2 linked regions of the Drosophila melanogaster genome follow. The protein of the gene in region 1 interacts with the protein of each later gene in a pairwise test. Each region holds a gene or a part of one and is shown on either strand. Other genes may lie near its edges.

Region 1 (4,848 bases):
AAACATTTAATTTTGAATGCATCCTCAACCAGAGTCTTTACCACAGTTGTAACATATAGTGGAAAAAATGTTGCACTCGATAAATTTATAGCCGGATTCGCCGCCCCTGCAGCTTCAACGTATTATAAATATTTACGAGCCGCCCGCTCGGGTGGATTCCGTGGAGGATACGCACATCTTAGTCGATGACGACGACACATCCGGGGGAGCAAAATGGCCAGAGTCCATTCCCGCAGGACACACGCCATCAGCTCCTTTGCCGATCGTTTCTCCTCCCGGGGGACAGAGCGACGCAGTGCATCCGGAGGCATATTAATGATGTCTTTATGGCGGCCACATGGGCGTTGGCAAATTCCCCGGCGGAACTGGCTCACCCGCACAATTTACGAGCGTAGTGCATCCATCTAGTAATTAAAAAATAGAAAACACTTTACTCGTAAATGCTGATTTATGTGGGGATGCAACATTGCTGCACAAAATTTAGCCTCAAAAAAAGAGAAAATTTCCATACCTCCTTTTTGCAGGGTTTATTAGTACTTAGAGAGTTATAGTAAGAGTTTTTCTTAATCATTTTTAAGTATTTAATAAACTACACTTTCTATCATCAAAGTTGTAACACATTTACAGGCCCTTTAGAAAAAGCAAACATTCCCCAGTGATTATCCTTTTTTGAGTGCCCCCTTAAAGTTTTCGTTCACATACGCATTACTTATTTGGTTGCCAATCTGTCAACTGTTTTACGGCTGACTTCCTGTGGAACGTGCCACTGGAAACTTGAAATAAATCCTAGAACCACGTACCCCCCCCCCCCAACTACCCCTTCGCGTAAGTACCAAAAGAGCTCTACAAGGTAGCAGCCACAAGAAACTTCGTTAAGCTCCTCTGCCGGCAAACTCCCAATGCACATGACACTCCTCCTAATTGAGCCATAAATAAGAGCGAGGCTTTATTTCAGTATTCCAAAGGGCCAGTAGGTAGTGTGTTTAGCTGGGAGTATCCGGCTGTGCCTCGACCACAAAGTTGTAGATACCATCCTCGGTTTGCATCGGAGCCTGCTGGGTGATTTGGAAGCGCTCTGGTTTTTTGACGTCTTTAAATATTTGCACCACCTGCTGACGCAGAGGCTCCAGGGAATCGACGCCATCTTTTAATTTCCGGCCCAGCGATGGCTGGATGTTGTCCACCATGTGGGTAACCAGATCAGCGATAATCGTCTCCAAATTGGAGCTGTTCTCGCGCCCCAGCTTTCCATTGAGATACAGTATGGTGTGAAGGTTGCGGACGAACTCCTGCGTGCGATCCGATTCTATCTTCAGGAATTTCTCATCCGCGGCAGTCTTGAGGTCCTGTTCCGCCTGCATGCGACACTTCTGATAGACTTCGCTGGCGGGACGACCTCTTTTGGACTCCTCCTCCTCGTCCTGCTTCTGATACTCGACCAGGTAGTCGTGCAGGATGCGCAGCGGTTCAAGGATATCAGCGTTCACTCGGTGCAGCGTTATCATGCTGGCCGAATAGCGACGCTGGAGATTCTCACGCTGAGGTGTGACCTTGGCATCGCGACGACTACTTGAAGAACCAATCTCCTTGAATGTCTCGAAATCCTCATTCATTCGGGCCAAGTCCATGAGGATCTTGTGCTTGACATCCTGTAGTTTACCAACCCTTAGCACTGATTCCAGAAGTTCCTTGGTGTACCTCTTGTTTCCGAACTTCTCGGTCTTGGCGCTCTCCGAAATAACCGAGGACGATTTGTTGCCGCGCATAATAATTGACAAGGGAACCGCCGCGGTTTCCTCGTCGGAATAGAGCTGTGAATCCGGAAGACTGAGCACGACTGCATTGTCGTTTCTATTGAATCGAACCAGATAGGTGTAGTCCTGCGGATCGTAGCCCATGACAGTGCCATTGACGATGCCCTCAAAGGAGTTTCCGTGCAGAAAACTGCTGACCGTGGCATCCTTGGCCAGTGGCAGGGGCACACGCTTGGGTATCTGGTCCAAGTAGCCCACGTTCTCCTTGGGATTGAACTTATGCTGCTGCAACTGGCGCACAATGCGGCGCTGGCACTCCAATTCTTCGCGTTCCAGCTCGATGAAGGCGGCCGAAAATCGACGCGCCTTCCCCATATTCCGACGTACCAATTGCCATCCTCTGCGGGGCATGAAGCAAGAGTGCAGGAGCGGACAGTACTCCGCTATGAAGCGCTTCATATCGTAGCCCATGGTCAGGGTCGGCTTGTCCAGGAAGGAGTCGACGAACTCACACCAAATCCAACGGTGAGAGCTGAGATACTTCAGGAAATTGTACAATCTAAAGGAGAATGAACAATTAAGCACTTAAAGGGATCTCTAGGGAATCTTTCCCATTACGAACCTCTTGCCAAGTATAAAGTCATTGGAGTAGGGATCCTGCTCCTTTTCCTTTTCCTTCGCTTTCTCGTCCTCCGAAACATCTACAGATATATTGGACGGCTTCTTTGTAAAGTTCTCAGTCCTTTTGGACGCCACGCCTGGTTTAATTCTTCCCTGGATCTCTGGCTTTTCGGAAATCCTAATACGCGGGGCGAAATTTGGGCGTTTAATAAATAATTCATCGTTTTGCCATGCCGCCACCATCTTTCTGGGTTTCTTCAATTGATGACGCGACATTCTACGGATGGTAGCACAGTTATAGTTCTATTTTAATATTTGATAGAAAAGGAGAAAATATTACGTTGTCGTAGATAGTAATCCTATATTTGCCAGAAACTCGTTTTCTTCGCAGATCTCAGATTGGATTGTGAAATTATCGATTGATAGTGGATCAACTGACATGCTGAAATGGTCTACTAAGTTTTTCTTTAGTAATTTAAGCGAAGTTTTTCTGAACCAAATGTTTTTTTTGTTAAAAGTCTCACGCCATTTGACATATGGCCTCCAAACTTGGGTTGCCAACATATTTCAATTCTGTCAAGGGTTGCCATATTTTCTAAGGTACTAACTAAAGTCATTATTAAAGTAACAGTTCTGATAAATTAAATTAAAACAACTAAAGTCTTACATGGATTTTAATAAACAGTATCAATATTTTTTATGAACAGCAGGCTCAATCGAATTATGTAATTTTTTTTTTTTAATTCATTGATTTTGTTTTTTGTTATATGCCGCTTTCCAGGGTTGTTGATTTTCCGAGTGAAATCTGTTGAATTTTTAATTTGAAAAACTTTTGCGTGATTTTCATAGCTGGTGCCAATTGCGCAACACAACAATGGGTGGCCGAAACTCAGCCTAGCAAAATAGTAAACAGCCAAAGTTTCGCCGGACTGCAAGAATGGCTTCATGGTCAATAGTAGATGGTCGATATGGTGGTAATGGTCATCGGGGCGCGTAATTAATAAAGTTTGCATACGACTGTTGTCGTGGCTAAAACGCCGCCAGCGGATTTCGAATTACGTAAATGGATTTCAGCATTATTGCCTGCGCACTTTTGGCCTAATTTCCATGTCTGTGATGTGGTAAGTACGCCTGTGCACTGCAAAAAAAAAGGGTACAAAGACAAGAGAATTGCTAATGAAATTCCGAGAGTATTTAGTTAGAAACGCTGAAACACACACTTGTTTTAACATCCAAATTCCATATTTAATTATATAAAACGGAATTCTAAATTAAATTAAATTAAATTATAAATACACCTCAGTGTATGCCAATGGTTTGTGCCCGCAAACTTTCGACATGTGTTGCGGTCGTTTTCTGGGAAAAAGGAAATTGGATATCCAGATATTCAGACTTAAAGGAACTTAAAGATTACTTCCTCCATCGAGATATCGATTGCCGTCTGTGCACCTCATTCAATTTGCTGTGCACACAGAGCTTCCGCAGAATCGGTGACAGAAGGAAGAGATACCAGTTTTAATTTGCATTCCTTTCGCCTCGAAGGAGCAGCGGGATGTCCTAATGCAGGACACCTGCAGCTTGTACTCACTTAATCAGCAGACAGGCAAAGGTGATGCAGGTGGCTGGCTGGAGGCCAGCAACATGCGCTTAAAATTAAAAACCCAAGGCAGACAGCTGGATGGTTCCCATGTTCTTCAGTTTTTGTGTTCCAGGATCACAAAACAAAACATTGACATTGAACTAATGAAAGCTGCAGGCGACACGTGCCACGCCCACCTACCACCCACCGCCCATCGCCCAGCCAGGAGGCCTTAGCCAGCGGAATGGGCGATGATAGGTCGTGCCAACGGGTTACTCATGTGCACGACTTCATTCATACATACATACATATACATATGAATGGGTATTCTCATGCGGCTATATTGTACCCTGTATAGCGAATGTTGGCTTTCAGCCTGCGGGTCGTCTTTGCACTGGCCCAAAAAACTGGCTAAATGTTGAACGGCACACGCAAGCGTGTTAAAAAAAAAGGTTTGCTCAGTGAACCTAAAAAATCGAGTTCAAAGAGTGAGGGGTGTTTTAAATGGGCGTATGTGAATCAGAAGTCAACCATGAAGGTGTCAAAAGGTATACAGCGTTAGTATGAAAAGGATTAACACTTAGTGGGGCAATTAATTTCCCACTTTTATATTAGGTTTAAATAAACGAAGTACATATAATATTTAAGTGAAAATCGGACTTCAGTGTAAGATACAATAGTTTCACCAGCTTGTCGAACTTAAACTCTTGAGCTGACAGCTTTAGCTTCTTGGCCATCTACACGACAGAATCTGTCGCAGCTTGCCCGCCTTATACTCATGGCTTTTACTGTGCATTTACAGTTTATGACAGTTTGAGGACATTAAAATTGAAGCAGTTTGTATCGCCAGCTCCCAGTTGGGGGGCCACATGGGTTGGAGCTGGCTTATCGCCA
Region 2 (3,233 bases), on another chromosome or scaffold:
TCCACCTCAACGGCAGGAGGATTGGCGAATGCGATGGAGGCCACTAAGCGCACAGGAAGCCCGTCGGAACGGATGCCGCAGCTCCGGCCATCTGAACTCTAGACTCTAATGCACGATTAATGCCCAATCCCAGACGCACTGCTTCCACCTCCATATGCGATGTGCATTTCCTAGTAACAACAGTCGAGCTTCGACAAAAGGAAGACACTGAATTGATATACATCTACAAATACATCCAGATATGCAGATGTGTATTTGAAACTTATAAAAATATTAAAATGTGTAGTATTTGGTAGATATATTATTCTATCTCCTAGCAATATGTTTGGTTTTTAAGTTCAAGCTACAGAAGTCCCACTGTACTTGACTTCAGATGGAGCCGATGTCGTGGGCGAATGTCGATGGCATGTCCATTTTCAGAAATTAAGCCCTGTAAGCGGCTTTCATGGGACTTTGCCCACGACACTCGCCCATCTGGCCACTTGGGCCATGTGGAGCTATGTGTGGCTTTGCCACTGGACGGGGAAACGGAATGGAGTTGGAGTCACTTTCGTTGACGACCCTTTATTTGATACCATCAAAGTCATCAACAGTACAGTATACAGTGTTCTGTAAGCAGATTTGTCACTTCTTCACTTGTTGGCGCGACGACGGCAGTTGCCAAAGATGCGCAGGTGTTTGCTCCGGATGAGCTCCCTGGCTTCCCATTGACTCAGCTCGTAGATCTCCTTCTCCATTTGCTGGATCTGGGCAGCTATGGCCGCCGGCGGGAGTAGACTTAGTTCTGGAGAAAGTTTTGTTTGTATATATATGAATTTATCACCTCGGGAAACCACTTACCATACATCTTGCGCAGGTCGTTCTCCCTTTCCACATCCTGTTCACCGGCTGCCTCCTGTTCCTGGTCGTTTTGCTCGACCATATCGTCGATGATGGAGTCCGCTTGCTTTTGATCCCGCTGACTTTCCTCTTCGCTTTCCCCATTAGAACTGCCCCTTTCCATCTTTTCCAACTCGAATTCGATTGGGTCCTCCTCCAAAGTGTACTCCTCATCGCTGGGACTTCCTTCCCGCTTAATGGACTTCGTAACTTTTTTCATATTTTCGCTAAATTATTAACTTTTCAATAGGCTTCCTTGTTGTTTGTTGAAGAAATGCTGTGCCAGCGTGAAATCGCCTAATTGAGCTTACCACCTTGCTAATAGAATATATCAAAACAGAAGGGACCCAAGAAATTAGCTTCCGTACACCACTTTTTGCTGGAATGACAGGTTTAAAATCCCGAATATAAATCCACCCTTGGCGAAAGTTTTTCCAACGCCTAATGAGCTGTACAAAATTAATTGTCACCGCAGGAGGGTTGCCACCTTCAAAAAAGGAATACGTAATGTGCAAATTTCCAGGAGTTGCCAGGGCTGCAGCCAAGGTCAATGTGGGAAGCCCTGCAAGAACTGAATACCGGCCATTAGAAAGCGTTTTTCAAAGGACTCGGCTTCTTGTAAACAATCGATCGCAGGCGTTTTCCATCCCCCAGAAAGGAATCACCTCTTCAGCCCAAGCAACTTTCTTTACAGGGGTGTATGATCAAAATTATTTAAAAGGGGATTTTTAGTATTATAATTGTGAATAATTGATATATTGATATTAATAATAATAATAATATGATGATATGAGGAAGATAGAAGATTCAAGAACTTACTAATACATTTCATAACAATAATATTTAAATCTTAATGTCCTTGAACCCCTAAAGCCCCCTCTTTGTACTCACTACCTCCATTGTCCTTGTCGCACGTGTCCGCTTGCTTCGGTGGCGGCTTAGCAGCCGAAGGACATGGACATGGAGTATATGTATGTCCTGATGGTGACAAAGGGACGCGTGCTCATTATTCCCCCTGTCCAGCCGTGTATTCCGTCTGCTTTTGTAGCTGCTTTATGGCCAAAGTTTTTGGGCAAAGTATCGTTTATAGCCGGGTCCGCGACTCATGCAAATTGAACAAGTTAAACTTTTGAAGGGGTCGCTGTTCGCCCCACCCCCAGGACTCTCCAGAAGCGTTTTCCCCAGGGTGGCTGGCGTCTGTGTAAACAGTGTTTGCACCGCACAATGGGCCCCATTACGCTGCAGTTTATTTGCAAGGATTCGGCCTGTGTTAGCCCGTGTTATCATCCATGCGGCACGTGCCACTCGCAGGGGGGGGAATGGTTGGAAGTATGTCTGCTGCTGACTTTGATTTGTTCAAATCGCTGCCTAATGGATGTTAACATGATGCAAAACAAAAAAAACATTCCAAAGTTGTGCTGACTTCTATATCTATATATATTTACAAAAAAAAAAGTTATTTCTTTTGCATCATTTTCGCATGTTCTTAAGGTCGAAATTGAGTTCTTGAGTGTTTTCTCAATTATTGGTAACAATTTTACAATAGAGCAGTCTTTATTATAGTGTCTATAGTTATTTTGCTCAGTGCTCTTTAAAAGACGCAGTTACCACTGTGACAAGATAGCCGCCTGGGGCCAAAGAACCCAAACAAAACAAAGAAGCAAAGTAGTAAAATAGTGGCCCAAAACAAACAAGTTGGCCAGAAAGAGAAACAGAGACAGTAACCCAGACTAGACTAGACGATTAGTTGGCGGCAGGACATTGTCCCAAATCCGGAATTGACCCCTGAAATCGGTATGGGTCCTTTGCCAAAGTGCAGCTGCACCGCTTTGGTTCGGATTTGATGCCAAATATTGGCAATTTTAATGAACAACATTCTCGCAGCATTCAGCCATGCAAATGGCCCATTTAATTGGATTAACGCACATTTCCGCTGCGTCGCTGGCCAATTTATCACAGCTTTATGTGTGTTTATGTTTATTTATGCTGCGATTTAATTATGCGCCACAGTTGGAAGTGTGCCATGCGGAGATACAGATACATTTGTGTGGACATGCAGTTGGAATTGGAGTTGGAGATGCGGATGTCTGCCCCAATGCAATTGCTCTTTCTTTCTTACTCATTGAAGTGCCCCTCGCCTCGAGTCGCTGGCTTTCCTTCCTTTCTCGCCTGATTTACTGGCTGATCCATTGTGAACGGCTGTCGATGGCAATCGATACGATCCATACGATCCATACCTTGTATACATATATACTTTTTAGCACCGACCTCCCGCCTTCCCAACTCCCCGTCTCAGCAGAAATCTGACAGCCTGGTGCGAATATCTGATTCGGGATGAATGCGGGTAATTTGAA

Evidence for each region.
Region 2: the proteins of aly (region 1) and wuc interact in a two-hybrid assay, tested with the Drosophila melanogaster proteins (one study listed by BioGRID).

What each region holds. Positions count from the first base shown.
Region 1 is NT_037436.4:3,023,609-3,028,456, forward strand, and holds aly (always early), read right to left. Parts: upstream 2,914-4,848; 5' UTR 2,817-2,913; coding exon 2,716-2,816; intron 2,653-2,715; coding exon 2,377-2,652; intron 2,314-2,376; coding exon 984-2,313; 3' UTR 521-983; downstream 1-520.
Region 2 is NT_033778.4:12,698,170-12,701,402, reverse strand, and holds wuc (Wake-up-call), read right to left. Parts: upstream 1,323-3,233; 5' UTR 1,191-1,322; exon of another isoform or gene 1,107-1,190; 5' UTR 1,100-1,106; coding exon 841-1,099; intron 785-840; coding exon 633-784; 3' UTR 552-632; downstream 1-551.